Caenorhabditis elegans: one gene and its partners. The protein of the gene in region 1 interacts with the protein of each later gene in a pairwise test. Each region holds a gene or a part of one and is shown on either strand. Other genes may lie near its edges. The genes, in order: zyg-8, oaz-1, F30H5.3 and tald-1.

Region 1 (4,890 bases):
TCAACCAATCAGATGAAGTGGGCGGGGAGTTCTCTTTTTGGAGGGAATATAACCGAATTTTCACCAACCAATCAGCGCCTTCGAACTCCGCCCACTCCATCTGATTGGTTGGAAAGTGGGCGGAGCTAATCGCTGATTGGTCGCAGTGTAAATTGGGTTTTTGTGTTTTTTTTGGGAAAAAATTCGAAAAAAAAACAAAAAACACCGATTTTTTCCAATTTTAGACAAATTCCCACTGCGACCAATCAGCGATTTGCTCCGCCCATTTTTCAACCAATCAGATGAAGTGGGGGGGGGGGGGGGGGGGGGGTTTCGAAGGCGCTGATTGGTCGGGTAAAGTTTCATTTTGGAGGGAATTCAAAATTGATTGTTTTTTTCGCTTTTTTCCTATTTTCGTAATGAAAAAAAATTTTTTTTTTGTAAGTTGCGACGGTTCAACATTTTTAAGAAAAAAGACAAAAAATTCAAAAAAAATCTGCGACCAATCAGCGATTAGCTCCGCCCACTTTTGAACCAATCTGAAGAAGTGGGCGGGAGTTCTCGTTTAGGCATCTTCAAACTCCGCCCACCTCACCTGATTGGGCGAAAAATGGGCGGAGCGAATTGCTGATTGGTCGCAGAAAAATTCGAATTTTTCGTTCTTTCGCATATTTTTTTTTTGAATTTTTTGTCTTTTTCATTCAAAATTTTGAATCGCCGCCACTTTTTTTGGTTGAAAAATAATTTTTTTTTCCTTAGGAAAATAGGAAAAACGCGAAAAAAACAATCATTTTTGAATTCCCTTCAAAATGAGACTTCACCCGACCAATCAACACCTTCGAACTCCACCCACGTCGCCTGATTGGTTGGAAAGTGGGCGGCGGAGCGAATCGCTGATTGGTCGGGGCGATTTTTTGCTCTCACCTCGCCGTCTTCTTGTTCAACAAATGCCTACTAATCCGCCTTGGCTTCACCCCATTCCGAATAACCTTGATAATTCGTGGAAACACGAAATCCGTATTCTCATGACACGGCTCTACGACACTCAACGCCAGCTTCTTCGTCTCCAAGTGTCGATTGTATCGATTGGCAAGTGTCAGACGCCAACTTGGCTCGGCGGCTCTCGAATAATCGACCGGTTTGAAAGCGTCGGTACTCGAACACACATAACCACCGCCGTCTTCGAATTGATCTACGGAAGTGATGCGTTGAGCGCCGTCGATCGTGAAAATGTGACGGATTCCGTGTGGAAGAGCCGTCGAGTCACAGATTACAGTTTTCATCAAATCTTCCATAAGTGGTTGCATACTCTTCACCCGGTCACTTTGTAAAGCATACTGAATCCCTTTGAAATATTGATCCCCATTTCTATAGAACCGGAGTCGCTTGGCTTTCAGTAAATGCGGATACCCGGATGGCCCGATTCGACACCTCCGCTGCATTTCTGAGACCATATCCCTGGACTCTGCGAGCTCATCTCCATTCGTTCCCTCGGTTTCCATGGCACATACGGATGACGTCATTGACGCTTCCGCAGTGTTCGTGCCACTATTCGGCATGCTTCCCTGGGAAATTGCCGTTGGGAAGACGCTTGTCTGATTGAGATTAAGAGTCGATGCTCGTGGAGTTGTCAGTGTTTCTTCACTGATCACTGCGGTCTGATTGTGATGAATATGATGGTGGAAGTGTTGTTGAGGAAGATGCGAGAATCGACGATGTGCGGAGGATGTTGATGGAGCAGATGATGATGGACTGATCTTTCTATGAACAACTGGAGATGATGATGATGTCAAGACTGCGGAGAGAGGACGTGTCGAATGAGGGAGATGGGCTGGAAATTAGGATTATATTACACGGGAACACAAAAAAATATTTAACGCGCAAAATATCTCGTAGCGAAAAGAAAACTACAGTAATTCTTTATATGACTACTGTAGTGTAGATTTACAGGATCTCGATTCTTTAGATTCAATTATTTTCGAATAGTGATAACGATCAAGGGTGTCGGTTTTTTCGATTTTTGAAAATCGAAAAATCGATATTTCGAAATTTTTTCGATTTTTTAAAAATTCGCTTAAACTTTGATCATTGTTCTTATTTTTAGATGTTCTTTATCATGAATATATAAACAAAATTAGATTTTTAAAAAATCATATCTTATGGGTAATTTTCTGAATTTCGGAAAATAGAAAAATCGAAAATTTTAGGGGCCGCTTTTTCCGGCAAATCGGCCAATTTGCGGAAAATTTAAAATCCGGCAACTTTCCGATTTGCCGGAAAATTTAGGGGCCATTTTTTTCCGGCAAATCCGGCAATTTGTCGATTTGCCGGAAAAATCGTTTTCAACAGTCTGACGGTATTAATCATTTTTTAATAGCTTTTTACAAATAAAAATGTCTCTTTTTTCAAGTTTTCAACTCAGTACTATTGAAATTAAACAATCTATCCGTGAATTTTGCAAAAAAGCAGCATCGCACCGAAAAAGAGGCGGAGTGTAATTTCGTAATTTCGCAACCTTGCGGCACGGTTTTTTCTCTATTTTTTATTTGTCTTTTTTCGAATGAAAGTATTACCCAATTTACTTATTATTAGATTGTGAGGATATTTCATGGTTGTAAAAAAAATGAAATTAATCGAAAAAAAAAATTCAGAAAAAAAGGAGAAAAAACCGTGCCGCAGGGTTGCAAAATTACGCTCCGCCTCTTTTTCTGTGCGACGCTGCTTTTTTGTTGCAAAATTCACGGATTCATCATTAAAAAAAACCATATCCCGTAAGCTGAAGCAAGCAAGCCACCAACGGGGAAATTCAAGCCAAACACTCAATTCTTACGTCGTTTGAATCGTGGAATATTCGACGTTTTTCCAGCAGCGGAAACCCTCTTCGATACACGTGGCAATGTGTTGGCTCCATTCATAGATGCTCCATCCGATCCTCCAGCTTCAGATCCAGGTGGTGGTGGTGGTGGTGGTGGTCTAGCAGTTGTGTCGTTGAGCTGCCACGCCGACGTTTGTGGCATCGTTCGAGTAGAGATAGTCTAACACCGAAAAAAAACACCAAATTAGCGATAGTTAGGCGCAACCACGAGAGGAGGACGGAGCGGTGTCAGGCCGTCCCATTACGGTTTGATCTACCAAAAATGCGGGAGATGAGACGCAGATTTCTCAGCTGATTTAGCATCGAATGAGAGTGTACTGACGTCACATTTTCCTGGGGGAAAGTTCCCGCATTTTTTGTAGATCAAACCGCAATGAGACTGCCTGACACCACGTGGGGATATACCACGTGGCAACAGGCCGTCCCATTACGGTTTGATCTACCAAAAATGCGGGAATTTTTGGCCCAAAAAATGTGACGTCAGCACGTTCTTAACCATGCGAAATCAATTGAGAAATTTGTGTCTTTTCTCCCGCATTTTTTGTAGATCAAACCGGAATGGGCCTTGGATATGAAAAAGAGAAAGGAATGCAAAATCAAAAGATTGGACAGAAAATGAACTAAAAATCGAGGAGGACAATTCCAATCGGGTATGGTGCAAGTGCTATAGACGGGAATTAATCTTTTTTTTTGTTATTTTAGAAAAACAATTTTTTTTTCTGAAAAAAAAGTGGAAAATTCAAATTTTTTTGAGATTTTCTGAGCAAAATTAAAGTTTTCTGGGAAAAAAAATTTTTGTCGGGGATTCAAATTTTCCGAAAAAAAATTTGGCGGGAAATTTAAAAATTTTAGAATTTTTTGGCGGGAATTCAAATTTTCGGAGAAAATATCTATTTTGGCGGGAGATTCAAATTTTCTGTGAAACAACTATTTCGTCGGAAAATTCAATTTTTTTTCGAGAAAAAAAACCTATTTAGGCGGGAAATTCAAAATTTTTTTAATTTTTTTTTGGCGGGAAATTCAAATTTTCGGAAAATATCTATTTTGGCGGGAAATTCAAATTTTCCGAAAAAAAAATTTGGCGGGAAATTTTTTTTTATTTTTTCGAATTTGTTTTGGCGAGGATTCAAATTTTCTCTTAAAATAATTTTGGCGGGAAATTCAAATTTTCTGAGAAATTTTTTTTTTCGATTTTTTAAAGATTTTTGAAGCAAAATTTCCATCAGGCTGTCCCATAACGGATTGATCTACAAAAAATGCGGGAATTTTTCGCCCAAAGAAATGTGACGTCAGCACGTTCTTAACCATGCGAAATCAGTTGAGAACTCTGCCGCATTTTTTGTAGATCTAGGTAGATCAAACCGAAATGAGACGCCACGTGACACCAAAAAAAAGGAGATAATTTTACTATGCTATGACTAGCTGACAATTCGAATCATTGTCCAAAATGAGCTGTCCGCGAGCATTGGTCTCCAAAATGCATGGAATGTCGAATGTGGGAATTAACTAGGCGTGCACACAGAGAGCAGTGAGCAGTGAGCTGCTTCTCGTTTTCCTCTCATTCGAAAGAGCTAAAGGGCAGACGGGTGTTGTTGTGGGTTGATTTGGCTGACGGGAGGGGCGCGCGCGAGCCAACGCAGAGCCGGGGGACGGAATAGACGAGGGATTAGTTAGGGGGTATCCGGAGGGACCACAGAGCCAATTAAACAGCTTCTCATTTGTGCAGCGCCACCTGCGTCTCCGCCGAAAAAGGTGCGGTTTGTGATAAGAATATTACACGGATTTCTGGCTTCCCTCCATAAATTGAAATGGAAGAGTTTTTTGCCGAACTAGGCCAGGCCAAATCTGGGGTAGATTTACGTTGCGTTGCGTGTCGCGTCGCGGCTCGATTGTAAAACTAAATGTATTTGTCCGTGTGGAGTACACGACTTTCCCACGCGTTGTCCGGCAGGCGATTGTCAATGGAGCGCGAAAAATTCAATGAGGAAGGCCAGAAGCCCGTGATACTGAAGGTGAGGTAGTGTGAATGGGGATTT
Region 2 (3,198 bases), on another chromosome or scaffold:
CTGTTCTCTCCGTCAGCGCTTAAAAGCAGTGAAACGTGCCAATAGTTCTCCTTGATAACGACTCCCTTTTCTGGTTTTCTCTGTATCATTAGTACTTGAAAAGAAAGGAACTACGTACTCAATCTTTGATAATTGGTTGGTATACTGTCGTAATTTGTTGAATGATTTCGTAATAATTTAATTTTTATTTCTGGTTTCTGGTTTCTCTTAAAACTTACTCAAATCATTAATATTCCTATGCTCACATAAACTTAAAAGTTTTTCTTATCTGATCACAATCTAAATTAGGTCTGCAAATCATCTATCGAAAATCAATAATTATTTCGCAATAAAATAGGCGAAGAGCAAGTCTTATGACACTGTTATCTTTCCGGGAACATTCTCGGTCCACAATAGATAAGGCATCCAAATCATTCGATTCACTGTTTACACGTCGATCGATCTTGTTCTCCTTCTTCTCTATCTTCACTGTTTCACCTTCATTTTGCCTCAATAAGCTGTAGTGAAGTCATATGATTTTCTATTCTTTGTTGTCGAAATCGATTTTAATATAGAGTAGTTTCTAGTTTTACATTACTAAATCCACTCATTGATTCTATTGATCTCTCCTTTTTTAGGCGCAAATGTTTTGATTAATAATTACTTTCGATATCACAAGGCGCTGTTTGTCTGGTAATATTATGTTAGCTCCAGTTCTGATTAAAAATTTCCGTTAGAAAAAAGGTATTTTCGGAAAAGTATCCTAATGGCGTGAGTATACCAATTATTTGTATCATGGCAATTGAGCAGAACTGATAATCGAGTCCCACAGGGTTTACGATTTCTATTTGGATCTGATTTTGAAATGTGCAATAAGAAATAATCATCCCTACTTTCACTTTTGTAACGACCCATTTCGTCATTACCATATGACTTTCAAAGATCTGCGATGTGCACGTCACATATATTCATTCAAAATGGCGCCAGCAAGCCATTGAGCCAGAAAGAGCGTTTCTCTGTCGTCTCGCAATCTTTATGTCCCTCTGTTCCTCCGCCTCGCACTTCATTTATCGCCTGGTCACATGCTTCTTTGTGTTCACTCAATGTTCGTTCTGTATGTCTTGTGACAATTTACTTTAGAGGTTAATAACACAGAAATATAAGACAGTTCATTACTATGTCTGTTCTATAGATCTTCTTTGACATCAATACAACATTTTACGCTTTTAAGAATCAAAAGCCTCTAATTTCTATTTAAAAGCCACGAAGTAAATCAAATAATTGAACGAATCAAAAATCTCTTCTGACATGCTTTAATCTTTGGCATAAACTAATCGAATTATTCTAATTTATTTCTAGCATATTTGATTATAGGACACCGTAAATGTTGAGATTGGTTAAAATCAATTTTTAAACATCTGGGATACGAATCAGTTCTCTGGAATAATTTCTGATCACCACAACTATATTAATTTGTATTTCCGTTATGCTTCCTCGCCCTCGCCCACTCGTTCACTTTGCTTTTAAATCGATCTAATTCTTCTTAATTTCAGTTTCCCACCACCCGCTTCGTACCTATCAAGAGAGACAAGATGTCGAGTATTTTGAGTAGTAATTTTACGAATAAATCGAATCAATTGGTCAACGAGTCTGCCGTCGACAGGTGAGAATACAATGTGAAGGCAGTTTAAACAATAATATTTCGATTTTTCAGCTCGTTGACCGCCTCCCCATGCTCGACCCAGCCCGGCGACGTCGGATGGTGTTTTTGACGCCCCCCATGGCGTGCTCACCAAATTGCCGAACGAAACTCGCGCTATCGTATCGGCCGTTTCTCCAAACTGGCGCGTGACATCGATTGGCGAAAAGACATTGGCGATCATGATTCCACACGATCAACCGGTGCTCGGCATCTCTAAGAAGAACTTTGTGGACCTCTTGGAGTTCGCTGAAGACAAACTCGGTGAGTTCTATTTCAACCATTTCTAGATTTTCTACAAAGTTGTGTTTTTAAACGGAGAAATCCTGTTAAAAAGTTATATTCCCTGAGAAATGTTTGTAAACTTTTTTATTACAGAAATGGAGCGTGTTTTGGCTGTATTTGAGAAGGCTCGTATTAACCCAACGGAAGGATTCCCACGTACTCTTCGTTACGTCGGATTCCGTCCATATGCCATCGACGAGCATCCAGTTCATCTCCCAGCTGAAAAATACTTCATCATGAGCTACAAGGTCTAATGGATTCATCTCACCAATTTCTTTTCGTTTTATCGATTTCTCGCCGCTTTTAAAAATGTTATTTTTCTTTCTCTCACCTTTTTCTATACCAACCCCTCGAAAAAATGCACTTTAAAAACTTTCAAAAAATTTCCTCCTTCAAGAATTCTCTAGTATAATTCTCTAAATCTCTGTGTTCATGTAGTGTACAAATTCTTTAATTTTCCAGAAAAAATCCTTTTTGGCTATTTCTCTGATTATTTTTGCCCACCACACCCACTCCCATCCACAACCAGCTCATTCCTGTTTCTAAGAGATATTAGTGACCGATGCTTCCTGAGAAATTCTCTTTTTTTTAAAACATTCTTTAAATTAATCCCTCCTTTCCCACCACTTTTCTGTCCACGCGCCAGCTTTTTTGGAGAAACGAATAAATTGTCAAAAAAAAAACGATTTTGTAGAGAAATGTTCAAAATGCTCCGCCCATCATGAATTGGGTATCGTTAGGTCGATTACGCAAATGCGAAATTTTGAGACTATCTTACAAAAGTACGAAGCAAAAATACACTAGCGGGTCTCGACATGATCAATTTTCTTAAATTTGAAAGTGTGCGCCTTTAAGGAGTACTGTACGTGCAAGCTTAGGTTGCTCCGGAATTTTCATATTTTTTCCATAGTTTTGCTATACTATCAATTTATCAACAAAAAAAAACTATTTTTAGAAAAAGCTTGGAAGCATGAGAAAAACTATAATCAATGAAAATTAGGCAGAAACGAGAGTTTGATAATACAGTACTCTTTAAAGGCGCACACTCTTACATTTAATAACAAACAATTTTTGCGTCTGGGAATACCACTAGACCAGCATGGTAAAATAAAATATCGCAAAACAAAAAAAAGTTAGCGATTTTTTTGTGTTTTAGAAAAATCAGCCTGGTGAAACTCTCTGTTTGAGTTTCGAGACGAGAACTTCAAAAGGCCTCTTGGGTCCAACAATTTTAA
Region 3 (7,906 bases), about 12 Mb from region 1:
AACACGTGAGCTTGCAGCATTGGAGAAAGTTCGGAATTACTGCAAAAGTTCAGAAATAACAAAAATTAGCATTTTTAGTCAAATCTTGACTTAAAAAATAATTTTTTCACAACGGGGTTTCTGAAGATTAACAATCGACAACGATTTTTCTCCAAATCCCCAACTTTTCTTATTTCAGAACCACAATGCCCATGGTATGCTCCGTGCGCTGCTCAACGAAGGCGATAGATTCTGTTACTCTTTCCCCAGTTGTCTTTTTTAATTCTCCCGAGGTATACACCTTGTCTCGTTACGGTTATTTTTCTTTTTCTTCTTTCCCCCGTCTCTTTGTTGCTCCGGAGATGTTCTATAACAAAAATTCTAAATAAAGAAACTCTCAATTTAATCCACTGCAATTCCAATTCAACTCCCCCCGCCTTCCTAAAAACAGTCGTTAGCCACCCAAAACAAACAGTCGGAACAAAAAAAGCGGCGCACCGGTGCTGCGCGTGTTTTTCATCAGGTCATGATTTGCTCGCGGAGAGAGGTGAGACCGGCGAAAAAGTTCACTCTTTTTGGAGTTCCGCGCCGCGCGTGATCTTATCATTGTGAGCGCGCGCGAGAGCCCCGATTAGAAGAGAAGCGGTGTTGGTTTGTACAATATTTGAACCAGCGCCGCCGCCACCAACATTAAACATACAGTAAAACATACATATGTTTGGTGCGAAGATCAGTTTCTCTTGACGTACACTTTATAATGAGATAGGATGGATGCCCGCGCGGATCAGAGGAAACTGGGCCAAGTATGCTACACAAAAATACACTAAACCTCGGGTGTTAAGGATGTCAGAAAGTGTTTCTGTGCAGTAGCGGGCTGAAATCACAGGATCATCCTGCTGGATACTCAAGAAGACGGTTACTTTCAAAATTTTTGCGAATTGCAAAAAACCATTTTCGAAGCGGTGATTTTTCACGAAAATCAGTTTCGCAAATCCTAAGGTATTCGTGGAAATTTTTTGTAGAAATTAAAAAAAAAGAAACTTATGATGTCAGCTCATAATTCAAGTTCGGAATCAGCTCATAATTCAAGTTTCACGAAAACCAAAAAGCTCAGTGATCTTTTTCGAGAATCTTACCCCTTAAAATTTTTACCGATTTTTCTGAATTTCAAACGTACTTAGTCTTGCGCTGTTCCACTCCACTTTGACTTTTCATACCTTTGGTAATCTTCACGCTACGTGGCAACAGTATGAAAAACAGAGACTTCTCATGAAGACGAAGAAATTGTGAAATGAATGAAAATTTAAACTAGTGTTCAATATGGCCCATGGTACTAATGAGTAAGGCTACACGTCATATCCAAAAAAATATCGTGAACTGATAAGTTATCAAACTATAGAAGACGATATAACGAATATCTTGGCAGTTGACAATTCTTGAGAAATCCAATGACAACATAGATGTAGGTTGTCAACATTGGAAATATCTAGCATTTTTTATAGAGCTAGTACAAGTTTAGTTGAACACAGATTTTTCATATATTATGCATACATATCGCACATGTTTCTGGGGACTTTTACTAATTTATCTTATCAGATGTGTTTTTTAACCCGCTATTCAAAGAAAATTAGAGAATGCGAGTATGACTACTGAGAGTGTGAAAACCGAAGCTCAATGATATCATACAAAATTCCGAAATGCCGATCATAAGCCCCTATCATGCTCCGTATACAATGTACCAGGCTCAATTACGATGTTGCTCTCTCTCCCCTCCCCACCGCTCTCAACATGTAAATCGCATTACACGAGTGACCCGAACTGTATTCTCGAACGAGAATCTTGCGAAACCGCGGGTAAACAACACCAAGAGAAACCCCTCCTCTCTTGGCTCTGCGAGCACACAAATATAGTGACCCCTCCCTCGCTCCCTCCCCTGACCTTGACCAGCAGACTCAGCTCAACACAAAAGCCATTCGATTGCAACTCGTCTTGGATTCGAACCACCCCGCACCATCATCATCAGAAGGCAATCAAAGAATTATCTGATTATTTTCGTATGATTTTCAATCAATAACAAAAGAGCCATTTCATATATCCAGGTCTCTATCACATTTCCAAATTGCCCTTCTTTATTGTATTCAATTACTCATTTTGAACACTCATTATATAATAATCACAAACATCAATCAATTGATATTCCGCAGCAATGCGTAACTGGTTTATTTTACTCCTGCTTGCAGGTAAGCTTTTTCTTTTTTGCCGGATTTTTTTATGGTTGCTTTGAAAACTTTTGAATCAAATTCTTTAACATAAGCAATACTTTAATTCAAATTTTTAGAGTTTGAATTCTGCTACTTGACACTTGGACTTTTTCTTGCTAGCAATATGAACTTGAAAGTTTTCTTCAAATTTTGATTCAATTTACGAGGGTTAGCACAATACTTAAACTCAGAAATATCAGCATAAAGTTCTTGAAACTATTTTAACATATATATTTTTATAAAAATATAATTTTTGCAAACTTAGTTGTCGGAGAAGAACTTATAAAACTAAGAATGTGTTCCTACAAGTCTAGCCTAAAGAGCTCTAACCCTAAAAATGAGTAGTTTCACCACTGTAGGTTTTTGACCCTTATTTATTATACAAAAAGTATGCTGTGAGTCGGTAGTTTTTATGGAATTTTTTTGAAAATTTGACTTTTACCTCAAAACCCCACTCAAAAACAGCAAGCCATCTCTTTTTTACTCTTGAAAACTTAAAACGTCAAAATTTCTATCACTACCTAAAAATCAAAGCACGATTCTATTCTCAGAATTGTTCAAAATAAATCTAGTCTTTAAATATTCGTTCTAGCCCAAGATTTTGCATTAAACTGGCCTATGCCTTTACGAAATCAGCACTAACATGAATTTTAAAGCTTCCTGGGGGTCTTAGGTGCTTCACAACTGCCAGACCCAGACCATCAAAACACCCATCAGGTCACAAGTCCAATTAAATTCTATTTTTAGAGCACCAGACTAGAGAGTTCAACTTGCATAATACCTTTTTCGTGTTTCTAGTGCTCTCTCTCTCTATCGCCGCGCCGCGTTCCAAAACAAATCCAAGCACATACAATAAAATTGGCAAACATTGTGTGGGGGGTTCTCAGTGTCTGAGATTCGATTCGCCGCAAATATGGCGGCGGCGGCGTGACTGTTGCCCGATTTGGGTTAAAGCGGCCGCGAGCGCAGACGATCGTGCCTTGAGGATTGGGAGCAGGTGGTGACGAATAGTAAAACTTTTTGTTTCAGGAGGCACATATGCAGTCGAGCAGAAGCCGATTTGCAGGATAGGCGATGGTTGTGACACGTCCGGATGTCGGATACCGACTGAAGGTGATAAGTGTGATGAGGAGATGACTATTGATTCCATCTATTGCGATCTTGCCACAAAGTAAGACCACTTTTGAATAAGGAAGCTGTTACTAAACACGACTTTTTCTAATTTCAGCAAGACCGACACTCACGAGAACGCGTTCCTTATCTGCAATCTTGTCAAGAAGGAAATCGAACGAAAGATTTGTCCGAAAGTATAAAATCTATTCCAGTTGTTGAATAATCTTAACAAATTCTCAATTTTTAGAGCCAATTCTTCATTGACGGAAAGTGCCGAACTGGCAATGTTCGGTACAAGCGGCAAGGAGTTGCCGGATCCGGAAGAGTTGGAGATTTTTGCAGCTTCAACACCGATTGCTTGACTGTAAGTGGATTTTGAACTTCTTCGAGATTCTAAAATTCAAATTTCCAGGGAATGTTCTGCTCCACAGGATCTTGCACATGCCTCTCGAACTTCGTCGCCATCCAAGGATACTGCTACCTGAAGAAGAATCCAGGAGAGTCTGGATGTCAGTACGCCGAGCAGTGCTCCGCAGTATGGCCAGAGTCGCGGTGCGAAAAGTCGAGATGCGAGTGCCCGGAGGATGTGAATGGAATTCCATATGTTCAGGCCAAGACCAGGGACGGAGTCGTTTGTGTTCTTCATTCCGGAGAAGACGGAGATCCGGTGCCAAAGTGCCCACTTCCAGAGTGAGTTTTTATTCAGTGGGAGCTATTTTGTGACTTCAAGCTTCAGCCTAAACCTAAGCCTGAACCAAAGCCAAGCCTCATAGTCAGTCTGATACTGAGTCACAACCTAACTAGCTACCTTCTTATCGTTAATTTCCAACTTCTTCTAGATACGACGATGATCTCCTCACAATGCCAGTGTCCCAACTTCGCAACCCTCACATGACCGATCCAGACGATGCTGACATTCAAATGGGCGAGCACATCAACCCACTTCAATTCTGCTCCTCTCAATCCACCGACTATACCACCTTCATCGCCAACGGAGGAGGTGCGTGTGCTTACGCGACCGATGCTAACAACGCTCAGGAAGGAGATGGTATCTATATCGCTGATATCTATGATTGTGTCACCTCCACGACATCAATGGCCAACGTTAAGACTGCAATGGAAGGAGTTTATGACATTCATCCAGCCTCCGATGGTATCTGCTGTCCTAACAGAGCCTTCACCTGCATCCAACCAAAGAGAGAAGCTGATAGTGGAAGTTCGGCGCCAGCAGGAGTCCGTCCAAGATGGTGGTACAACGCTGTCACTGGCACCTGCGAACAATTCATGTGGGACCCATGGGATGAGACCGAGATGCAATCACCAAACAACTTCAAGACTCGTGAGCACTGTGAATCCTATTGTAGAGACACTTGTAAGCGTGGATCCCCACAATACCTCACCGGATCCGCTCAGAATGAGGATGAAGTCGTCAGCAACTGCCAGACGGCCTCTTCCTGCACATCTAACTTCGAGTGCACTTCCATTGGATCCATGCAGCTCTGCTGCCCAACTGTCGCCAGCGTCTGCTCCAACACCGGAGGCCGTCCAGTCGACTTGGTCCGATCCACCAACTTTGACGCCGGTATGTTGATGAAGCGCAGCTTCTCCATGACCTTCTCCACGAGCTCGCGATACTATTACGACGCGGAGCAGGGAAGATGCATCGCGTTCACCTACAACGGAGCACTCGGAAACTACAACAATTTCAAGTCGTCAGCTGATTGCGAGTTGTTCTGCGCCAAATTGCAATGCAAATACGGAACTCCACTCAAGATTGGGTCATCTAATCAGGTATGTGCAGTGTAAATAACACCGGGGGTACCGGAGGTTTCGCGAGTTCGAATTCGTATTTCGAGAAAAATGAAATTTTCAGAGATGCTCCGCCAGTGCCGACTGTCCAAGTACCCACGAGTGCCAGTCAGATCACAATGTCTGCTGTCCAAGACCTCGTAAGTTTTAGAGTTTTAAATTTTTTACTCAGTTTACTCAGTCCTAGGCTAAGATTGCAATACGACCTAGACCTATCATCAGTTCCTCAGCCCACTAAAAACCTCAAAACATTAATTCCAGAAGCCATCTGCTCCCAACCCCTCCGCCTCGGAGACTGCAAGCAATCCGTCCGCCGTTACTGGTACAACGCAGTTACCCGTGCCTGTGAGATCTTCGACTACACCGGCTGCCAAGGAAACGATAACAACTTCGAGACCCTGTTGGAGTGCCAGAACACTTGCGAGAACATTATTCCAGAGCCACAGTGCCCACAAGGAGACGCCTACAAGGATTACCAAGGAAACTACTACGTCTGCTCCAACTCTGGAGCTGGAAACTCTTGCCCAGTCAACTATGAATGCTATTTCGACGGATACGTGTGGGGATGCTGCCCGACCAAGGCCTACACCTGTACCCTTTCCCCACATAAGGGAGTCACCTGCGGATCTGGATCTTCTTACAGATACTATTACAACTCTCAGACCCAAGAATGTGAATCCTACCAGTACAATGGATGTGACGGAAACTCCAACAACTTTGCTACGCGCGAGGATTGTGAAGGATACTGTGGAGTCGGAGGATGTCCAAATGGTGGAACTCCAGAACGCAACGAGTTCGGTCAGCTTATGGTCTGCTCGACCACCCAGGTGTGCCCAGGAACCCACGAGTGTACGTCTGTAAACTCTGGAAGCTCAGTTGTCAACCGTTGTTGCCCAACTCGTGCCTACATCTGCTCTCTTCCACCACAACAAGGATCCTCCTGCAGCTCATCCGCCGCTGCTCGATTCTACTTCAATATTGTCACCAAGGAGTGCACCCAGTTCACCTACAACGGATGCTCCGGAAATCTCAACAATTTCGCCACCCTCGAGCAATGTAACAACTTCTGCCTTTCAGCTGCCTGTACCCCTGGAGATGTAGCCTACGTGAACCCCAACACAAATATGCCATATGAGTGCAATGCAGCTCTATCCAACAGTTGCCCAACCAACTTCGCTTGTACCTACGATCAGCTGTCCTCCAACTCTGTTTGCTGTGGAGCCACCAACATGGATGTCTGCCCAGAAGGCGAGAAGGCTTACGTCAACGCTGCCGATATGGGAGTCCGCGAGTGTCTGATCAATGTGGAGGGATCCTGCCCGAGCAACTATCTCTGCAGATTCAACGCCATGAAGAACAGATACTACTGCTGTGCCTCGATCACAGGAGATCTCTGCCCATCTGGAAAGGCTCTTTACAAGGAACCAAGCTCCAAGGCCCCGATTCGTTGTACCATCAGCAGCAACAACAACCAATGCCCAACCGGGTACACCTGTCAGTCCGATGTTCCAGGCGCTTTCCAAGGATACTGCTGCTCTGGAAACCATCTCTGTCCAAACAAGGCCGAGTTCTACTTGGAAGAATCCTCCCAGATGCCAAGATCCTGCACAGTTGGAGCATTCATCACTTGTCCAAATGGTTACTCCTGTCAATCCACCCAAAACGAGTTCACCACCGGATTCTGTTGTAAGGGAGAGGTCGCTTCTGTCTCTGATGGTTGCCCACCTAATGAGTATGTGTTCATGAAGGACAACCAGATTGCCCCATGTGATCCATTTAACCCACCGAATGCTCCATGTCCAAATGGATACTCCTGCCAATGGTCGTTGGCTAACCAGAGATACCAATGCTGTGGAGCCACACCAATCACCACACCAAAGTCGATCGCTGCTCTCGGATGCCCGAACAACCAGGTCGCATTCCGCGAGAAGGCATCAAATGCTCCAAGAATCTGCACAGCCGCCTCTCAGAACTGCCCAACAGGGTTCTTCTGCCAATTCTCCACCGCTAACAATCAATTCCAATGCTGTGGAATGTCGGGAGGATGTCCAAATGATTCAGTTGCCTTCATCGGAATCACCGGAGAACCACAATCTTGCGCAATTGGTCAGAGCACTTGCCCATCCGGATATTCTTGCCAGAGAGCCATCTCAGGAGCACAACTCTGTTGTACCACAAACGACGAGCCAGTCGGACCAACAACTCCTACCAAGGGCTGCACCGAAAAACAAGTTGAGGTTGAGGGAGCCTGTCTCGATAAGAAATCTCTCGGAGACATCTGCAGTAACCAAGTTCAGTGCCCAACTGGAAGTCTCTGCAAGGAATCTGTGTGCTCTTGTCCAGAAGGACATCACGAACTCAACGGAGTTTGTCTCCCAGACTGTGGACCAAACGAAGTCGAGGTCGCCGGAAAGTGTGTTGCTAAATCCCTTATCGGAGAGGCTTGCGAAGCTGATGAACAGTGCCAAGGTGGATCTTCATGCCTTGACGCTACCTGCACCTGCCCAGAAGGCGAAGAGGCTGTCGAGGATGTTTGCATGAAGAAGATGTCGCGACCAATGTCGACTTGCCCAATTCCAGGACAGATTCCATTCCTCGAGTTGAGAACTAAAGCCGCCAGATTCTGTACTCCATCCCGTCCAAATTGTCCACGTGGATTCAGCTGTCAATTCTCTCAAACCGCTCAACAGAACATCTGCTGTGGAGGTGGGAAGGCGTCAGCAATCGTCGCCGAGAAGAAATCC
Region 4 (4,676 bases), on another chromosome or scaffold:
GAACGATTTAATTTTTAAAAAACTAATAAATCGAATAAAATTGAAAAATCGATTTTTTTAACCCGAAAATTTTCTAAAAATTGATTCAGATAGAATTTCGCAAATTTTCATTCAAAAAATCACATTTTCAACATTCCAGGATTTTTTTAGCTAGAAATCGGGGCAATTTAGTGAAAATTTGCCAATTTTGGTTTAAAAAATCAACATTTTCACCCAAAACTTGTAATTGGCATGTTTAAAATTTCAAAATCAGACGATTTCAGTTGAAATCTGCTATTTTTGACTGGAAATATGTTTTTTTTCAAAAATATCCCAGTTTTAGATTATTATGGGTATTTTTTAAAGAAAAATCCAATTAAAAAAATATACATTTTCCATTTTATTTGAAGTTACACTCTGAAAAAAAAATTGTTTTCGAGGTGACGTAGCACCATGCATTTTCAACATTTTCCTCCAAAATTAGTGTCAAAGTATAGAAAATTAGTTGATTTATCTGAAAATGACATTTATTCGACTGAAAATTTGAGAAATTGCTCAAAAAAGGCCAGAAAGTTGACAATTGCCGAAATTAGTCAACTTTCAAGCCATTTCTGGGCATTTTCTCGAAGGCTTCAGCTGAAATTAATGTTATTTTCAAATAAATCGAGTGATTTTTCATATTTTTAAACTAATTTCAAGTTGTAAAAATGTTGGAACAACATGGTGCAACAGACCATTTTCTAGAATTGCCGCTCATTTAAAATACCCAAAAAATGTGTGAAATTTGATCATATTTGACTACAAAAAACGTTTTTTTTAATTTTAATTTTTTAAAAACTGGTAATTTTCCATTCTCGATATTGAACAAACGCCGAGGTTACGGTAATTATAGGATTTTCAGCAAAAATTTGCTTTTAAAATTACAAAAGTTTTTTTTTCGTTATTTCAGTCTTCTATGGCCGATTATTTGTATATTTTTAGGTCTGAAATTTAAATTTCAGTAGACTTTTTTGGCATTTTGACGATTTTCGCTTCAATTTTGACCTAAAAATCGATAATTTCACATTTTTAAATAATTTTTTGCGGAAAACTGTCTGAAAATGTGAGAAATTGTGTTTAAAATAATATTTAAAAAATGAAACAAAAAATTGAAACTAGGTCAAAATATTCGAAAGGAATTTCGCAAATAAATTTCAAAACTCAATAAATTTTCCAATTTTTGAAGATTTTTCCTTTTTTTCGTGTTAAAATTCCCAAAAAAATGTGTGAAATTTGATCATATTTGACTACAAAGAACAATATTTACTTTCTTTTTTTTCTCGAAAACCCCCCGATTCTCTTGCCATTTGCCCCCATAAAACTGCTGACAATTTCCAATTTTTCCTGCAGGTACTCACGCCATACCTCGCCCTGTTCCCGTTCCCATTCTACGCTCTCGTCAAATCAGTTCAACAACTACCATCGGTGATTGCCGAATCGATTCGTCAATGGTTCGAAATGACGACGACACATCATAGTTGAGAGGCTACAAACTACAGACTGCAAACTACACACATTTAGTCATATTCTTGTTTTTTTGTTACTACTTTACTTTATACCTTTTTATCATCATTTTTGTTACTTTTTTTCGAAAACTGTTTTTCTCACTTCCCTACTCCTTTTATCGTCATTTTTTTATGAGTTGTTACTTTTTTTTTGAAATTTTCCCCCTTTTTTGTTATTTTTTGTTCATTGTTCATTGTTTTCACATTGGTTAGTCGAATTATCATTATCATTATATCTATTAAAAATTTGAAATTTTTTTGATACGGTTTTTGTTATCTTTGATGCTATCAATGGGCTGCACTTTCCATTCGATCTCTCTCACGCGATTTTTCCCGTAATTTTCACGATTATTGATTTTTTTTTGACTTTTTCTAGGGAAATCATGTCGGTTTTGGAACAACTCAAAGGAGCATCAGTCGTTGTTGCGGATACTGGAGATTTTAATGGTAAAAATTTTGAACATTAAGAAAAAGTTCGAAAATGTGGTGAATAATTGATTTTTTTTGGCAGTTTTGAAAAAAAATTAAATTATCTGAAAATTCGATTTTTCTAGGAAGACCACTGTTATAATGTAAAAAACAGTAAATTTCTCGATTTTCAGATAGAAATCTGACTTTTTGAACTTTTTAAATTAATTTTTTTAGAGAAAAAAATACATATTTTCAAGAAGTTTCCAAAAAATTCGTTAAAACATTTTAAAAATAAATACTATTAAATTTTATGGAAGTATTGTAAATTTCTGGAATGTGCCATTTAAAAATTAGAATTTTTCAAAAATTCCAAAAAAAGCTGTGAAAAACTTTTTTTGGATAATTCGATGAATTCTCTTTTTTCTAAATTTTTGTAAATACTGGTGAAAAATATTTATTTTGAAAAAAATGTGTTTGCGCCTTTCAAAAGTACAGTACCCAGACGTTCCTTCAATTTCGTTTTTTTTTTCATTTTTCAACGTTTTCTCTCAAGAATTTAGATGAAAAGCGTGAAAAATTAATTTAAAAAATCAGGAAATGGGTTACTGTAAGTCTTAAAGGCGCACACCTTTGTTTTTTTCCTCGATTTTGTGTAAAAAGTCAAAAATCGAAAAATAAAACTCGAATTTTCCAGTTGAAAAAAGTACTTTTTTCAAAAATTGTTCTCAAAAAATCGATTTTTTTCAGCGATCAAGGAATTCCAGCCAACAGATGCAACTACCAACCCATCGCTCATCCTGGCCGCCTCAAAAATGGAGCAATACGCAGCATTAATCGATCAATCAGTTGCCTACGCAAAAGAGCACGCCAGTGGACATCAAGAAGTGCTCCAAGCGGCTATGGATCGACTTTTTGTAGTTTTTGGAAAAGAAATCCTGAAAACTATTCCAGGAAGAGTTTCCACAGAAGTTGATGCTCGTCTTTCATTTGATACTCAAGCATCGATTGATCGGGCTCTTGGACTTATTGCTCAATACGAGAAGGAAGGAATCTCGAAGGATCGGATTCTTATCAAACTTGCTTCAACTTGGGAAGGAATTCGGGCTGCTAAGTACGGCATTGGAGATTTTAGGAAAACTTTTCAGTTAAAAAACTTTTTTTTAAAAATCAAACTTGATGAAATTTTACCCATTTTTGATGATTTGCTTGGTTTAAAACACTACTAGTTTCGAAAAAATCAATTAAAAAACGAATTATACAAGATGAAATTGTTAAAAATTAACACATTTTAAATTAAAAACTAGAAATGCTTCGATTTTTCTTGTAAATCACCTAAAATCTACGGACATACCTTTTCGAAACATACAAAGTCTCGTTTCTATTAGTTTTCTACTGAAAATCTACTCAATTGGACCCAAATTGACATTTTTCAAAAGAGTTTAAGGCATTAATTATAACGGAAATAGTTCAAAATCAGCAAAAAATTAAATTTTCAGATTCCTCGAATCTAAGCACGGAATCCACTGCAACATGACACTGCTCTTCAACTTTGAGCAAGCAGTCGCGTGTGCCGAGTCAGGAGTCACCCTAATCTCGCCATTCGTCGGAAGAATCATGGATTGGTTCGTGAAGAATACCGATCAGAAGGCCTACACTCGAAAAGACGATCCAGGAGTTGTCAGTGTTACTCGAATCTTTAATTATTACAAGAAATACGACTATAAGACACAAGTGATGGCTGCCTCGTTCCGTAATACTGAAGAGATCAAGGGACTTGTTGGATGTGATCTTCTTACTATTTCTCCGGCTCTTCTGAAGCAACTTGCTGCGGAGACGGAACTTGCTCCAGTTGTGCTCTCCACTTCTCATGGTGAGCGGGAGATTTAATCAATTAAAAATTGCAATTTTTAATTATTTTCCAGCCAAGACACTCGACCTGCCGAAAGTGAGCATTGACGAGAAGGCGTTCAGATGGGCTCTCAACGAGGACGCCATGGCCACCGAGAAGCTCGCCGAAGGAATCCGCAACTTTGCCAAAGACGCCAGAACTCTGGAGAAGCTTATCGAGGCAAAGATCTAAATTGTATTGATTGATGTATTTGTCGTGCTTACTAGTTTTCCCCAATTTCATCAGTGTTGTGATTTCCCCTTAAATATTTCGTTACGTATTTTAATGAACCCTTATGTAATTTAAAGAGCACTGTAAAGGCAAGATACACAAAATAGCCGAACTCTTATCGCACTCTGCAAGTTTCTGGACAGTTGTGGCTGTGACACCCGGAATTGAACCCAACTAGAATTGTTCAGTGAAACCATATCGCAGACAACCAGCAAGCTCCAAGACAACGACGAACTAGGGAGACACTTCTCGGGAAAACTGTTCTCAACAATATCCAACAAGACCGATCCAAATGAGTACCACGAAGACTACCAATTATTGAAAAAGATACAAGCTTTGAATAACAAGTTTTTATTATCAACAAAAACAATTTAGAGCTTTCCAAGATCACGGGCACGAGCGCGCTCGATCTTGAGCTTCTTGGCATCAGACTTGGCGGACATGACACCTCCTCCCCAGTGCTTGCGGATCTCCTCGTGACGCTCGCTGAAGTTGTTGTTGACGGTCTCGACGAGCTTGTTCAAGGCAGATTTGTCCTCTCTGAATACAAAGAAATAATTATTTGCTCAAGAAACTATAGAATCTGAAACTTACGGGTTGACATCGACGAGAGCAACAGCGGC

The links.
Region 2: the proteins of zyg-8 (region 1) and oaz-1 interact in a two-hybrid assay, tested with the Caenorhabditis elegans proteins (one large-scale study listed by BioGRID).
Region 3: the proteins of zyg-8 (region 1) and F30H5.3 interact in a two-hybrid assay, tested with the Caenorhabditis elegans proteins (one large-scale study listed by BioGRID).
Region 4: the proteins of zyg-8 (region 1) and tald-1 interact in a two-hybrid assay, tested with the Caenorhabditis elegans proteins (one large-scale study listed by BioGRID).

The regions. Positions count from the first base shown.
Region 1 is NC_003281.10:12,059,845-12,064,734, reverse strand, and holds the start of zyg-8 (Serine/threonine-protein kinase zyg-8), read right to left. Parts: upstream 3,023-4,890; 5' UTR 2,997-3,022; coding exon 2,810-2,996; intron 1,811-2,809; coding exon 904-1,810; intron 1-903. UniProt on the Caenorhabditis elegans protein: Probable kinase. Kinase activity may be involved in positioning of spindle poles in meiosis and mitosis. Plays a role in spindle positioning during asymmetric division of one-cell stage embryos.
Region 2 is NC_003279.8:6,091,775-6,094,972, forward strand, and holds oaz-1 (Ornithine decarboxylase antizyme), read left to right. Parts: upstream 1-1,532; 5' UTR 1,533-1,571; coding exon 1,572-1,642; intron 1,643-1,693; coding exon 1,694-1,751; coding exon of another isoform or gene 1,752-1,942; intron 1,943-2,056; coding exon of another isoform or gene 2,057-2,217; 3' UTR 2,218-2,663; downstream 2,664-3,198. UniProt on the Caenorhabditis elegans protein: Ornithine decarboxylase (ODC) antizyme protein that negatively regulates ODC activity and intracellular polyamine biosynthesis and uptake in response to increased intracellular polyamine levels.
Region 3 is NC_003281.10:506,197-514,102, reverse strand, and holds the start of F30H5.3 (BPTI/Kunitz inhibitor domain-containing protein), read left to right. Parts: upstream 1-1,885; 5' UTR 1,886-2,185; coding exon 2,186-2,219; intron 2,220-3,135; exon of another isoform or gene 3,136-3,227; intron 3,228-3,269; coding exon 3,270-3,411; intron 3,412-3,468; coding exon 3,469-3,547; intron 3,548-3,600; coding exon 3,601-3,717; intron 3,718-3,765; coding exon 3,766-4,043; intron 4,044-4,192; coding exon 4,193-5,144; intron 5,145-5,226; coding exon 5,227-5,302; intron 5,303-5,423; coding exon 5,424-7,906. Other genes in the region: T22F7.3 (BPTI/Kunitz inhibitor domain-containing protein), read left to right, coding at 179-228.
Region 4 is NC_003282.8:4,384,752-4,389,427, forward strand, and holds tald-1 (Transaldolase), read left to right. Parts: upstream 1-1,899; 5' UTR 1,900-1,906; coding exon 1,907-1,970; intron 1,971-2,681; coding exon 2,682-3,045; intron 3,046-3,430; coding exon 3,431-3,804; intron 3,805-3,856; coding exon 3,857-4,014; 3' UTR 4,015-4,129; downstream 4,130-4,676. Other genes in the region: F55F10.1 (Midasin), read left to right, coding at 1,369-1,500; rpl-7A (Large ribosomal subunit protein eL8), read right to left, coding at 4,425-4,593, 4,648-4,676.